Linked DNA regions of Drosophila melanogaster. The protein of the gene in region 1 purifies or fractionates together with the protein of each later gene. This does not show direct contact. Each region holds a gene or a part of one and is shown in the gene's direction. Other genes may lie near its edges.

What was found. Proteins that work in one complex are often made in the same cells at the same time.
Region 2: the proteins of Psc (region 1) and ph-d purify together in Drosophila melanogaster (affinity purification with western blotting; 7 studies listed by BioGRID, with this or other methods). This does not show direct contact.

Annotation. Positions count from the first base shown.
Region 1 is NT_033778.4:12,976,171-12,982,550, reverse strand, and holds the start of Psc (posterior sex combs), read left to right. Parts: upstream 1-1,556; 5' UTR 1,557-2,503; intron 2,504-4,329; 5' UTR 4,330-4,387; coding exon 4,388-5,234; intron 5,235-6,380. UniProt on the Drosophila melanogaster protein: Polycomb group (PcG) protein. PcG proteins act by forming multiprotein complexes, which are required to maintain the transcriptionally repressive state of homeotic genes throughout development.
Region 2 is NC_004354.4:2,114,925-2,124,410, reverse strand, and holds ph-d (polyhomeotic distal), read left to right. Parts: upstream 1-2,618; 5' UTR 2,619-2,686; coding exon 2,687-2,724; intron 2,725-2,786; coding exon 2,787-4,348; intron 4,349-4,409; coding exon 4,410-4,860; intron 4,861-4,919; coding exon 4,920-6,730; intron 6,731-6,793; coding exon 6,794-7,545; 3' UTR 7,546-8,684; downstream 8,685-9,486.

The DNA of each region.
Region 1 (6,380 bases):
AAAGTGTTTACTGGAGTGATTACAAAAAAAAAACAAATCCCTGCCTAAAACACCACTTAAATTAAAATTCATTGGGGTTTTTTGACCATCACTATTGTGAAAGATATGATAACAGAATGCAATTCTATTATGATTCCGTAAAAGTTCACGCAAAGACAATTCTTGAGTGCATATTTTGTCTAGACGATTCATACAAAAGGCTAAAAATAGACCAAAAAGCACATTTTCAATAAAATGCAAGCTTTCGACATAAGGTCCGATCGGTAAACAATTTTATAGTAACATGAACTTAAAAAAAAGTTGGAAACAAACTAAGACAAAACAAAAATATTTGTTGATTGAAAAATATAATAACATTTAAATGTTATGTATTCAATGATAATTTTAGTTGTTTGGCTTGAAGGGTACTTTTACAATTGTGTACTTATCAAACTTTTAAATATAAAATTTTAATATTTTTACAGTTTTAATATACTCTAAGATTACTACTGTATTTCTTCTATGAGAATAAAAATCAATCTTTATTATTGTTTGGGATGAAACTTTAAAAACATTTTGTAATTTATTAAGGCTAGTTTAAGAAATGGTTGAAATATAAGAATAAGAAATATAATAAGAAATATATTAATTTAAAACCTCCTGACATCTCCGATTTTACTGTGGGCAAACCAATCAATAAAAGTATTATAATAGAATGGAAAATGAATAAGAAATTAAAAAATTTTAAAAAGAAGTTTTCCCTGCAATAAAACTGAAAGAAAAAATCTTTAGACTTTTTGATCTGCGAACTTCGAAGACTTCAGAATAGTATTGGGTGAGTACGCTACTATTTAGAGGATAGGATCATTATAAATAAAAATATGCAAAATAAACTCTTAACTCCCACGGCAATGATAATAATGGTGTTAATTTGCATGGAAAGTATCGTCATGGTACGGTTCCTTCGTTCGCAATTTATCCGTTAGATCTGCATTGTTACGTTACGTAGAGCAGTCTAACGGTTAATTCGCCAAGACGGAAACGAAGTTGCTGCTTTTATTGTTGTTGGCTGCCACTGATTGGAGAGCTCTTTCGCGCTCACATTGTGGTTGTTGCTGTTGCTGCCACTTCTGTGGGGGAAAAAAGGAAAAGGCAAGGGAAAAGAAGCAAAAAGCATTTCCAATTTGGAGGCATTAAATAGCGTGGGAGCGAGAGGGGTGCAGATATAGACGTACGCCTACGTGCAAATATGCGATTTCTGCTGACGGAAATTGCAAGTTGCGATTACATAGGCACTCATTCTACCTTGATTGCACATGGTCTTATGTATTCCGAAGTGTTTGCAGATGGATAAGAGCCCGTAAGAGTTGTAAAACCTCTGCCATTTATGTGCAGCCCTTTGTTCTCTATCCCCCTCCCTCTTCAATTTTCCGCTTGTACATACAGAAACGAACAAAGAAACGGCTGGCAAAGCAAAAGAAAAGAGCCAAACGCCGACGTCAATGTCGGCGTCGACGCAGGCAGCGGCAGCGACCGACGATGTGGCGACCGAAAAACAGAGTCAGCGAAGAGCGCCTGTTTTAGTGCAACACCAACATTCAACGAGAGCGGTTCGTCGACGCTGTGCGGAAAGATTACAGAGCGAACGAGAGAGACCGAGCCAGAGCGACGACGCCCCGCAACGAGAACAACAAAAGAGCCGAGTGCGCGTGCAAGAGAGATAGCTGACTTGTTGCCCAGTGAGAGGCCGGCGAGAGCGAGACGGACGATCAGTGTGCGAGCGACGAAAAAGAAAACAAAGATACTCGCCCAGAGCAGTTGGCTACCTGTCTTTGGCCTGGTATATAAGTGTGTGTATGCGAGAGAGAGTAAATAGCGGGCAACGCAGCAGTACATAAACGAAAAGCAGCGTGGTCGTTAGTCGAACAAAAACTCTCAAAGCGAACGGACGTGTGCGGTCGGTTGTTTCGATACTCCTGCTTTATCGCTATCCAAACAGAGTGAAGCGACCACTATAAATAACGAAACAAGAAACATGTGTTTATATTACAACCAGAGCTCAAAGCTTCAGTTGCATAATAATAATAATAATAAAAAAGCAATCTGAAGCCAATTTCCTTTGTGTGACAAATGCCGTAGCAGCAACAACAGAAGCACAACACAACTACGTCTGCTGGCTTATGTACGTCGCGCGCGCTTGTGTGTGTGTGGGGCAGAAAACATAGAGCAAAGCATAATACACAATAAAGGTGCCCGCGAAAGCAGAGCAGCCGAAAGTGCCAGCGCGTGTTGGTGTGGTTTGAATGTGCAGGCGAAGTGAAGAAGTAGAAAGAAAATAAAATAAAATAAAAGTGAAGTGGAGCATAGTGAAGAAAGAGAAGCAGAAACGCTGACTCAAAACTCAAGTGTGGATTATTTACTTGGATTATTCCTCTTGCCATTGGATTATTTATGTATACAAGGCGACCACCGCGATGCCAATTAACTGGCTGGATTATTAGTGGATTAAAGATTGGATACAAAGGTACATGATTGGCGTTAATCAACACTGCTCTCGACCGGCAGCTGTTGCGCTCTCCCCCCACCAACCACAGCCCCTCTTCTGTTTTCTCTTGATGACCCCCTCTCTTTCTTTCTCCTTTTGTCCCAGCAAGTAAGAATTTCGATTGGACACACGGCAATTGAAAAAGGGGAGCATGAGAATATGAGCGTGTGTGACTGATTTTTTTTTACTGCTCTTTCATTTAGCAACGTTTTTTGTTTTATGTTTATGTACTTGTTTCTTTGAATGAAAGCAATATGCGAGTGTGTGTGTGTGCGTGCTTGTGAAAGAGGAGATAAAGCCGCAGTCTCGGTTCTGCATTCTCCGAATTTTCGCTGGGTTGTTGTTTTTTCTGTTCCCTGTCACAGTCTCGCGTTTCCCTTCTTTCAACATCCCTTCGCATCCCTACCCACACACACACACACAAACATACGCGAGCATATAAACACACGCACACCACACACAAATAAGAAATTCCGCTGCTTTTTTTTTTATTATCCTTTTCATGTTGGTACTCACTCACATTTTTTTGCGCGCGCGAGAATCCCTGAGACTTTAAACACGGCAATGGAATGGGTTCGGTAAAATAAGAAGGGAAAGGGCCAACAGAAGGGTTCCTCTTTTCGCACAGCACTTAAAAGTGATGTAAAAAGGATTTAAAGAGGCCTGCTGGCAATTTCTTTTCGCCCTCTCCCATATACAGTCATTCATATTCCATTGCCATATTTTCTGTACACAAATATAATTTTCCATATTCTGTGTGCCCCCGGAGTTGAAAAAGTTTTTCCGAAAAGTTTACCGTATGTACCTTGACTTTTTACTGGCGCGTTGATGCAAAAACAACTTGAAGTTGTTTGAAATACACATTTTGTTCGACGCCCCCACAGATCCGCCCCCCACTTTCGATGTACTTGGCATCTGGTTAAAACTCCACTCGGCACTCTTCACTCTCCCCCCTCCACCCTTCCATCCATAATAAAACAAAGCACCCCTGTGCAACTCTGCTCCCCCCTCTTTTGATCCCAAAAGTGCTGTGCATTTCAATATATTCGACGTAGGCATTCCCATGGCAACTACAACATCCATTATCGAGGGCCCCCACATCCATCGACTGATTGCAAATAATAGCTGCCAGATTGCGACTCCTTTCTGTCTACTGCTCAAGTCCCACAAGCTTTAATTTGGGACATCATGTCTGAGTTAAATGCATTTTGATTTCTTTGAGCTAAAGCGTTCTCTAACAAATTAAAGTCAAAGCATATTCACTAAACTCTAAAAATTGAAATGATCTTTAAGTTTCGATGTTCATGCAACAACATATTTGTTTATTTTACTTAATAAGTTCTTGTCTTTGATCATTTATATTGAGTCAGCGTACTTGGCAACATCATTAAAATATTTTCTGAACAGATCTCTTATGACGATCACTGTAGAAACTTTATCACCATTTCAACTATATTAAAACTGATTCACGAAGAATGATGCAAAAGAGAAGATTGCAGTGAGGAAAAATACGATCCCACCGAGTTCATTAACTCTACCAGTTTTCCCAGAAAGTGTATATTTCCCTTGCCTCCATTATTCTATCGTAAACAGCGAGGGGCGAGTGGAGCTTTAAGCTTCTTCGCGCACCAACGAGGCTATACCGATATAGCTTCGGCTTATTGCTTTCTGCGGCTCAGCGTCTGATTTATTTATAATCTTCAGCACGCTCTCTTCTCGAGTCGATTTACATTTTCCATTTCACATTTTCCATGCGCTCCTTTATTCGCATTTAATTTTAACTTCTGGCATTATCTATTTTGCAGATTGACGCTTGTGCGAAAAACAAAAGCGAATTTTTAGCGGCGAGAGTGTATTATTACTATGATGACGCCAGAATCGAAAGCAATACAGCCGGCAGCAGCAACAACAAAGCAAACAGCAGAAGCAACAGCAACAACAACAATGGCTCACACACAACAAAAGTCGCAGTTGTCAACGTTGGCGAAAACAACAACGACAACGGCAACGAATAAGGCGGCCAAAAGCGTTGTCAGCAATGCAAATAGCAGTGGCAACAATTCGAGCAAAAAGCTGGCTTTGTCTCAGTCTCAGAAAACAACAACAACAACAACACCACCAACGACGACGACAACAACAACAGCAGCAGCAGCAGCAGAGGCAACAACTAATGCTGATAAAATGCAAAAGCAACAGCAACTGAAGCAGCAACTTTTCGCTGCCTGCAGCATTAAAGTAAAAAGTGAAAACACATTAGCAACTACTGCGAATGCAGCATTAGCAGCAGCAACAACCACAACAACAACAGCAACACCAGCACTTGCCACCGGCAAAGCAGCAAAAACAATATTAGAAAACGGCATAAAGAAGGAATCCACGCCTCCGGCTGTCGAATCCGTTGAGGCCTCCTCCTCATCGTCATCCTCCTCCTCGTCCTCCTCATCATCATCGTCCTCGTGGCCGACGACAAGGAGAGCCACTTCAGAGGACGCCAGCAGCAATGGTGGCGCCTCCGCCGACGAGGAGAAGTCGGAGGAGGACCCAACGGCAGCTGTGGCTGCGTCTTCAACGGCGACAACGACTTCCGATTTGGCCACAACTTCAAGGCCACGCCCCGTCCTTCTAACGGCCGTCAATCCGCACATCATCTGTCACCTGTGCCAGGGATATCTGATCAATGCCACCACCATCGTCGAGTGTCTGCACTCCTGTAAGTATCCTTCCGCCGATGAACTTCATCAAATTGTATTCTATTTGCGATGCGGACTTGCACAAGTCAATAACCTTTGAGTGGCCAGGAGATACAGATACAGATACAGATTTTTTGAACTCCTAATGGTTCTAATTCAAACTACCCTGTTAATGGAATGAATGAATGCGCTATTCTTGGCTTTACACTTTACTTACACTTGAGCAGTTTCAAACGGAAACTTTAAGAGCTTGTACAAAAGAACTTTTGAAAACTTGTCCGATTTTGCTTGATGAAAACCATTACAAATTAATCAATGTGGGAGTAAGTTTAAGTTAAAAGAAGAAATTCCTAAATGGTTAAATTCGTTTGGATTCACTTTAAATGGTTACCATCCAAAGCGAAATAATTACTTTCCGTTGAGAGAAAATTTTCAAAGTTCTCCAACAAGTTTACATAAATTTAGATAGAAACTTTTTTCATCAAGATATTAAAAACGAGAGCTACAAGAATATGTAATGCGATTAGGTTCGGTATATTTGTATCTCAGAGTAATTAGAATTTTGGGTATTTAGATTTTATCCCATAAATCCTTCGGCCAATGTCCAGGGATTGGGAAAAGTTGCAGCTAGTAATCGCTGTGGCTTAATTATTATGCCAACTGCCGACTAAGGGCACCATCCCCGCCAAATTCCATTTCCAATACCCATACTCAAATGTCTAGATGTTCTGCAAAATTGCCTAGACGCGATGAGTTATGTTTACTTCGGAGGGCGGAGAATTTAGCCAGGGCGAGGAGCAGTAGCTCTATGTTGTGGCAGCAGAAGGGAGCAGGAGGAGGAGTAGCAGCAGTAGCAGCAAGAGGGTTGGGCGCTTCGGAGCAGGAACACAGACGACACGCAGATGTTGCCGGGCGATAAGTTTGTGGGCACATTAATGGTCCCGGCCTCGAAAGTACTTAGCTCGATTGATTGAGAAACTGTTCGAGGTGGCGGGCGAGAGATGATCCCTGCTCCTCGCACCACTGGTAAAAATCCCGGATGCATTATCAACGACACAGATATTAACACAACATTAGCATTCAGGCGGGGGACTAAACGCCATAAAACTAGCGAATGTGGCCATTCATCAACAGCCGTTCGGTTCTCCATTCCGTTCGGATATTAA
Region 2 (9,486 bases), on another chromosome or scaffold:
AGACCGAGTCCAACCAACGCACCCATACCACAAATGATGCACGCACACACACACGGGCTGGAACAAAATGAAAAATGAAATGCCAAAGACAGGCACCTTGGGTCATGAACGGTAAATATGTGAAACATTTGAAAAATTAATTAATAAATATATTAATATGTAAGTGAAACTCTAAATCTTATATCTATGTTCCTAATAATATAATAATAATTATTTAATATAATAATAATTATTTAATAATAATAATAATTATTTTACACCATTACTTTTTTGTTTTACTGGCATAACCCAAGTCGACAGTTATGTACATACAAAGATATTTCTGTTCTACACAGCTATGTAAATCCTAAGTTTTACGTTGCTGCTCTATAAGATTGCTCCAGTGTGCCTTTGGTTGCCAAAGTACAACAATAATGCATTCCAATAACAATAGATCGAGTGCCACTGTGGGAACATATCACTCTGTCTCTGCGCATACGCTACCCCTTCCCTTCGCAAACGCTTCGTTCGTCTGTTTCCGACAAGCACAACCAATAATAAAGTAAGTTGTATAAAGTAAGAGCAAGGGAGAAAGGCGCTAGAGGTTGCCAAGTAGTGGTGGTTGTGAAGGAACGAAAAAAAGAAGATGAAGTATAGCAGCAATCGAATTTGAGTCGGGCGGTAGACATTCGAGTGTACAGACACAGAAAACTGGATTCGGTCTCGGGTATTTTATTTTGTTTTCACAGTGGAAGGGGGCGCACAGTCGGGGTGGTTGAGCACGCATACACATGCCCGCCAGCTGTAGTCTTGATTCCTGTTTTTTTTACTCGTTTTGGTTTTGCTTTGTCAACTGCTGCCGTTTCATTCCAACCCCAAGCGAACGCACGGCATCCCGCTCGCACGCGCTATCTGACCAGGGCCACTCCTAGTGGCGTCGCACTCGCACCCGTGCATTTCGGTATAGAGAAAAGTTATTAGTCGCAACGGTATCTGAGAGGAGAGAAGCGGATCCAGCTGCACACCAACACACACACACACACATTCAGCACACATGCGCTCATTTTGTTTCCGATCCGAGCAAAAGTAGAGTTGTCGCTGTAGCGCGCGGTTCAGTTTGAAACTTAACTTGGCGGCGTGCGGTTCTTGCGCTCTGCTCTCTTTGCGTTCGTGTTGGTGTGGTGTCGATGTGTCGCATACCGCATGTGTATTGAACGGGGGAAAAAAAAAGCGCCGACGCGACGCACACACACCCTACCACCGTTTCGTAGTATTTATTTATATATTTATTTTTGGCGATCAATGCAAATCGGTGCTGACTATAAGTGATTAGTGAAAACAATTAATGCTGTGCGGCGTCTAAAGTTGCGTCGTTTTGAATGTTAGGCATGTACAGGTGCCTCCAAATATACAATAATACAGTACAGCAAGGAAAGCAAAAATGAAAACGGTAAAACATATTTTTTCTGATGAGACGCTGTCGTCGGCGCATGCTCTTTGCCTGTTGTTTGCGCCGCATTGTTGTCATTGCTCCCTGCCTCTTCGTTTTCTCCTTCTCCTCTTCCTCTGTTTCTGCCTCTTGCAACTCAATTTTTGGCTAAGGGAAAAATCAAATAATGATGGCATTATTGTATGCCGCCACACGCACATGCACACACACACATGCACATATCGTGGCGCGGTAGAAAGAAACCAGTCTTTCGGTTGCAAGTTGAAGATGCTGCTGTGCCTAGGTTTATTACCCCCCTTCCAAATCCGTTCCGCTCTTAGCCTGCCGATGGAAATGGAAGCCAAAATCCACCCCCGATACACACCAAATGTAACTGAAACTCCTAACTATTATTGGTGGCGCCGGTTGCTCCTTCCGCTCCTCTGAGCCGCGGCCATTTCTTACTCCTGGACAACTGGCGACAGCATTTTGAGCGCCCAGCTTAGGTCTTTGAACCTGTCCCCTTGGATATCACCATGATGGCTTATAACCATCGCCCAAGGGCCATCCGTAAATAAAAGTGGTCTCCCTTACACCCACTCGAACTTCCTCTCTGCGTAGTAGATGGGAGGAGGTGATGGAGAAGGGGAATATGCAGCAGAGAGCAATCCTACTATAAATAGATGTTTCGGGCACAGGCAACGCTGACAAGTGACCTGCTTTAGGTGTTGGTGTGCATGCACATATGAAAAACAGTGCACTTTTAGTGGGTCACGAATCATGAACAAATTAAAATATTTATTTACCTGTTCCGTAAAAAGTACTGAATACACGGTGGGGCTAGTGTTGTACAAAGTTGTAGCTGCAATCATTTGTAATTTCCCATATAATATGTTGGTGTTTAAGCTTACCACGTCTCACCTAAACAGTATCCACTGTAAGTAAATTACCTCGTGAGTGAACGATCATCCAAAACAAAGTGTATCTCTCGTTCCCTTCTCACATTTTCGTCCCGACTTTGTTTTCGTTTTCGTTTTCTTTGGCGTTTTTGGACCCAGATCGATCCCGTCTTTGTCTTTCTCAATGGTAGTGCGTCCCTGTCGCACCCCCTTCTTTCTTTTTCTGTTCCTCGTCCCCCTTTTCGCGTTGGAGAGCAAGAGAGAGAGTCTTTGGCGGGAGTAACATGCAGTCGCAGTTTGTTGTTGTGCGGTTTGTTCGTCAAGCGCTAAGAGAATATGAATAAGAATATAAATATAAATTTAAACATGAATATGAAGCATGCCCCACGGATTCGGAGCCGCGCCAAGTGTGTCCGTGTTTGTTTGTGTTTAAAGCAATTTACTGATAGTCTGTGTGCGTTTCCTCTTTCTCTTTCCAGCAGTGGGGACACCGAAAGTGAATCAGCAACAACAATACGTACACCACCACCTTCCCCGGAAGCCACCACATCTGTAAAGGTCAACTCCACCACTCGCGTGGACCCCCAGCGGCCACTAAGGTGCCTGGAAACACTCGCCCAGAAGGCAGGCATCAGCTTCGACGAGGACTTTGCCAAGAGTCCATCCCAATCGCCCAGCTCTAAGGCAGCACGTGGGTCAGTCGGAACGCCATCAATCAGACGGCGCCACCCACTACTACCGCTCAGCAGCAGATCGCCAAGCGCACCCGACTCAAAGACAACCGGCCGCAAACTGGAGAAGTCACAGAGTCCAGCTCAACAGGTGGCGGCCGCCACCAATGTGCCGCTGCAGATCTCCCCCGAGCAGCTGCAGCAGTTATATGCAAACAATCCCTACGCCATTCAGGTGAAGCAAGAGTTTCCCACGCACACGACCAGTGGCAGTGGAACTGAACTAAAGCATGCAACCAACATTATGGAAGTTCAGCAGCAGTTGCAGCTGCAGCAGCAGCTGTCGGAAGCCAACGGTGGAGGAGCAGCCTCGGCCGGAGCCGGAGGAGCAGCTAGTCCGGCCAACTCGCAGCAAAGCCAGCAACAGCAGCACTCCACAGCCATCAGCACCATGTCGCCGATGCAATTGGCAGCGGCCACTGGAGGAGTTGGCGGGGATTGGACACAGGGAAGGACGGTGCAGCTAATGCAACCCTCCACCAGTTTCCTGTATCCCCAAATGATTGTGTCGGGAAATCTGTTGCATCCAGGAGGCCTCGGTCAGCAGCCAATCCAGGTGATCACCGCCGGCAAGCCATTCCAAGGCAACGGCCCCCAGATGCTTACCACCACGACTCAAAACGCCAAGCAAATGATCGGTGGCCAAGCGGGATTCGCTGGCGGAAATTACGCGACCTGCATTCCTTCGAACCACAATCAGTCGCCTCAGACGGTGCTCATCTCGCCGGTGAATGTCATCTCCCACTCGCCACAGCAGCAGCAAAACCTTCTGCAATCAATGGCCGCCGCAGCTCAACAACAGCAACTTACCCAACAGCAGCAGCAACAGCTTAACCAGCAGCAACAGCAGCTCAACCAGCAGCAGCAACAGCAACAGCTGACTGCCGCTCTGGCCAAGGTGGGAGTGGATGCGCAGGGCAAGCTGGCCCAGAAAGTGGTTCAGAAGGTGACCACCACCAGCAGCACGGTGCAGGCGGCGACGGGTCCTGGATCTACTGGGTCAACACAGACCCAGCAGGTGCAGCAGGTTCAGCAACAGCAGCAGCAGACCACCCAAACCACTCAGCAGTGCGTGCAGGTTTCACAGTCGACTTTGCCAGTCGGTGTGGGTGGACAGTCTGTTCAGACTGCCCAACTTTTGAACGCTGGCCAAGCGCAACAAATGCAGATCCCTTGGTTCTGGCAGAATGCGGCGGGCCTGCAACCCTTCGGCTCCAATCAGATCATCCTGCGAAACCAGCCAGACGGAACCCAAGGCATGTTCATTCAACAGCAACCGGCGACGCAGACTTTGCAGACCCAGCAAAACCGTAAGAATATTGTCATGTATATTGCATCGGATAGGTACTAAAGTCAACTATCTTCCTACAGAGATTATTCAATGCAACGTGACGCAGACGCCCACTAAGGCACGCACTCAACTGGATGCACTTGCTCCCAAGCAGCAACAGCAGCAGCAGCAGGTTGGCACTACCAACCAGACGCAGCAGCAGCAACTAGCGGTGGCTACTGCCCAGTTGCAGCAACAGCAGCAGCAACTCACTGCAGCCGCTCTGCAGCGACCAGGAGCCCCTGTCATGCCCCACAATGGAACTCAAGTGCGTCCGGCCAGTTCCGTATCCACACAGACTGCCCAGAACCAGAGCCTGCTGAAGGCCAAAATGCGCAACAAGCAGCAGCCGGTGCGCCCCGCTTTAGCCACATTGAAAACCGAAATCGGTCAAGTCGCAGGACAAAATAAGGTAGTAGGCCACCTGACCACCGTGCAGCAGCAGCAACAGGCGACGAATCTCCAGCAGGTGGTTAATGCGGCGGGCAACAAGTGAGTATTGTTTGTTTATTATCTGCCTTGTCACAGTACTTATTTTTGCATCTTTCCAGAATGGTTGTGATGAGCACAACGGGCACTCCGATCACCCTGCAGAATGGACAGACCCTTCATGCAGCCACTGCGGCAGGAGTCGACAAGCAGCAACAGCAGCTACAACTGTTTCAGAAACAGCACATCCTTCAACAACAAATGTTGCAACAGCAAATTGCTGCCATTCAAATGCAGCAGCAGCAAGCGGCTGTTCAGGCCCAGCAACAACAGCAGCAACAGGTCTCTCAGCAGCAGCAGGTTAACGCCCAGCAACAGCAAGCGGTGGCGCAACAACAACAGGCAGTCGCGCAGGCTCAGCAACAGCAGAGGGAGCAACAGCAGCAAGTTGCCCAAGCCCAGGCGCAGCATCAACAGGCTCTCGCGAATGCCACTCAGCAAATCCTTCAGGTGGCGCCAAATCAATTCATCACGTCCCACCAGCAACAGCAGCAGCAGCAACTTCACAACCAACTGATACAGCAGCAGCTACAGCAACAGGCGCAGGCACAAGTTCAAGCCCAAGTGCAGGCTCAAGCGCAACAGCAACAACAGCAGCGAGAGCAGCAGCAGAATATTATCCAGCAGATTGTGGTGCAACAGTCAACTGGAGCGACTTCTCAACAGCAGCAGCAGCAACCGCAACAGCAGTCTGGACAGTTGCAGCTTAGCAGCGTGCCGTTTTCGGTTTCACCATCGATGACGGCGGAAGATATTGCCGGAATAACATCCAGTGCCCTACAAGAAGCTCTCTCGGTGTCTGGCGCCATCTTTCAGACAACCAAACCGATTACTTGCAGTTCCTCTACGCTCCCCACAAGCAGTGTGGTCACAATTACCAGCCAGAGCAGCACTCCTCTGGTCACCAGCAGTACGGTGGCCAGTATGCAGCAGGCTCAGACGCAAGGTACTCAGATCCATCAACATCAGCAGCTAATCAGCGCCACTATTGCCGGAGGGTCTCAACAGCAGCAGCAGCAGCAGCAACTGGGACTACCTTCACTTACACCCACCACGCCCTCACCTACAACAAATCCCATTCTGGCCATGACCTCGATGATGAATGCCACCGTGGGTCACCTATCCACTGCCCCACCCGTTAGTGTTTCTAGCACCGCTGTCACTCCATCGTCTGGACAGCTGGTCACACTAAGCAGTGCTAGTAGCGGTGGAGGAGCAGGCTTTCCAGCCACGCCCACCAAAGAGACACCTTCAAAAGGGCCCACCGCAACCCTGGTGCCCATTGATTCGCCCAAGACTCCTGTATCAGGAAAGGACACCTGCACTACCCCCAAATCATCTACTCCTGCCACTGTTAGCGCATCCGTAGAGGCCAGTAGTTCCACAGGCGAAGCCCTGTCCAATGGAGATGCCTCAGATAGGTCTTCCACGCCGTCAAAGGGCGCTACCACTCCCACCAGCAAGCAAAGCAATGCAGCAGTGCAGCCACCGAGTAGCACCATTCCCAACAGTGTCAGTGGGAAAGAAGAGCCGAAGCTGACAACCTGCGGCAGTTTAACGTCCGCAACATCAACATCAACCACGACAACGATCACCAATGGGATTGGAGTAGCCAGAACGACAGCCAGCACGGCTGTCTCAACCGCTAGCACAACCACTACCAGTTCTGGCACCTTTACCACAAGTTGCACCAGCACAACCACAACCACCACGTCGAGTATCAGTAATGGATCGAAGGATCTCCCCAAGGCGATGATTAAGCCGAACGTCTTAACTCACGTCATCGATGGCTTCATCATCCAGGAGGCCAACGAGCCATTTCCCGTCACCAGACAGCGATATGCAGACAAAGACGTCAGCGATGAGCCGCCAAGTGAGTATAAACTTCTGGTACCAATGCTTTTTCGCAATCTTAACGTGTCATTCCTTCGCGCAGAGAAAAAGGCAACCATGCAGGAGGACATCAAGCTAAGTGGAATAGCATCAGCTCCAGGCTCGGATATGGTTGCTTGCGAGCAGTGTGGAAAGATGGAGCACAAAGCAAAGCTGAAACGGAAGCGCTACTGTTCGCCAGGATGCTCGAGGCAGGCAAAGAACGGCATCGGTGGAGTTGGATCAGGAGAGACGAACGGCCTGGGGACAGGTGGTATAGTTGGGGTGGACGCAATGGCATTGGTGGACAGACTGGATGAAGCCATGGCTGAGGAGAAGATGCAGACAGAATCATACCAGACAGTATCGGACGCTTTGCCAATTCAAGCGGCTACGCCGGAGGTCCCACCGATTTCGATGCCAGTGCTGGCGGCTATGTCGACATCTTCACCACTTTCGTTGCCCCTGACATTGCCCTTGCCAATTGCAATAGCTCCCACTGTGTCACTGCCAGTGGTTTCAGCTGGAGTGGTTGCGCCGGTCCTAGCAATACCATCCTCGAATATAAATGGATCCGATCGCCCTCCCATCAGCAGTTGGAGTGTGGAAGAAGTTAGCAATTTCATCCGAGAACTGCCTGGTTGCCAGGACTACGTGGACGACTTTATACAGCAGGAGATCGACGGCCAAGCGCTGCTGCTGCTCAAAGAAAACCATTTGGTTAACGCCATGGGCATGAAGCTGGGTCCAGCTCTCAAAATTGTGGCCAAGGTGGAGTCCATTAAGGAGGTCCCGCCAGGCGATGTAAAGGATTAAAAACACGCAACAAAGTCAAGGTTTCAAAAGACCGCTTTCTTTAGTTTCCCGCGTTTCACCTAAATGTAACGACATTTACTTCGTGAGCGAATGTGATCAGACAGAACAAAGTGAATCACGTTCCGACTCACCACTTCTCACAGCACGTACACCCTAATCATCAGCTACATGCACCTAATCTACAAAGGGAACTCCCCAGAGAGCAACCGGTGCCTGGAATCACTGACTCTGTTGCGAGGCCCATCCCATCCAGAATCTATGCGAGAAATCCATAATTAGGTGATGTAGTTGTTTTTCCCGCACATGACGAAAGCAAGGAATATGACCCTCCTTCGGCGCCGAAGCTGCAGCTAGTTTAAGCACCCCGATCAGACCCCAAGATTGTGGCAATAGTAGAGTCCATGACTCTGTGCGACGAAAAGGACGGGGAGGTTATAGGACCGCTGGCGCCACCGCCGTTGGATCAACAGTCTTCAGCAGTCTACCAGAGTCTGAGGATAGGAGCGGGCAGTATCCTGAGCTTCTATTTGACCATGCTGATCTCCCACGACCTTTGCATGGACCTTTGCCTACCTGTGGACCGGGTCCAACCGGGTCTGCCACCCAAGCTGAATTTGATTCACTTGAAGCGGACTTTCAATCCTTTTGTACGTAATCTAAACATAGCAAGAGGGGTAATATCGTAGCTCAAATGACAGGACGCCACATGTATGATAGAGCATAGACTGCCATCCCAGTCATCAATTCATCACTTTGTATAGAAGTTCACAATTACTCATAATCACTAACGTATTTATTTGAACGTTGTTAATCATTTCACAACACCCTATGCAAAGAACATGAAAAAATCATTTGAACTAGAGGTAATCTGGGATTATATTTACGTAGTTAGAATTAAAACTTAAGCCTGAAGTAATTCCTAAGTGAAACTGAATTGAATCCAACTAAACCTTTAATTTATTGATAAACTTAGGTCGTAATGAGTAACGTCTGAAGAATTTTTGCCTTTATTGCAAGGTTCCGAAAACGCTGTCCAACTTTTATAGATCAAATCAGTGGTCGGAGTTTAATTTTTTTTTTAGTTTTACGAAACCTTTTTTTCCTACTGCTGAAGTAAATAAAACTGTAAAGTGATTAATGGAAGTGAATATAATGTCGTGATCGAGTTTTATTGGAATTGTTCATTTCGTACCTTCTTGCCAAATATGTGGATATTGAAACAAATATGTGGGTAGTAGTCACTCATTCTAAAAACACATGGTAATTTTCCGAAAGGTTATTTGAAATATGGTTTATTCAATTATATATATTTTTCTTTCAAATATGCAGACACATAAAAATGTAGAATATATCTTCAATATTGTTATCGGTATAATGTTTCGAACAGCTATGCATCTTAAGGTTTCAATTTAATTTCATAATAATATTTTGTGGCTGTGTTTAATTTTTATGTTTGTTACGTTTAGTTAGCGCTTGCAGATTGATTTACATATAGATTTGCTTCAACATTACAACGACTTTGGTTTTGTTTACAATTTATTTGGTGTTGCCTTTTGTCTCGATTTCGCGATCGTTTTGTTGCGTTTCATTAATTTGTTTATCTTACGATCTAGAGCTACGAAAACTTTGTTTATTGCGTCAATCGCGTTTCGTCGTGGGCTCGTTTACCATTTTGTTCTCGATTGTTATCTATAGTTTCAATCAAATCGCAGTATTCTACACGGATTTCTAATGTTTTTGGGTCGATTAATATTTTATATGGCAGGAGAACTACCTCTCAGCTGCTTCTTGTATACCGATACATAAACGTTTGCCTCGCCGTCTCGTTTTGGGCTCAATGAAAATGCTTCTGAGCTGAGTACTGAGCTGTATTTCGCATCTAAATATATATTATTCATACTCCATATACTATATGGTAGTTTAACACTTGTATTTTGCAAA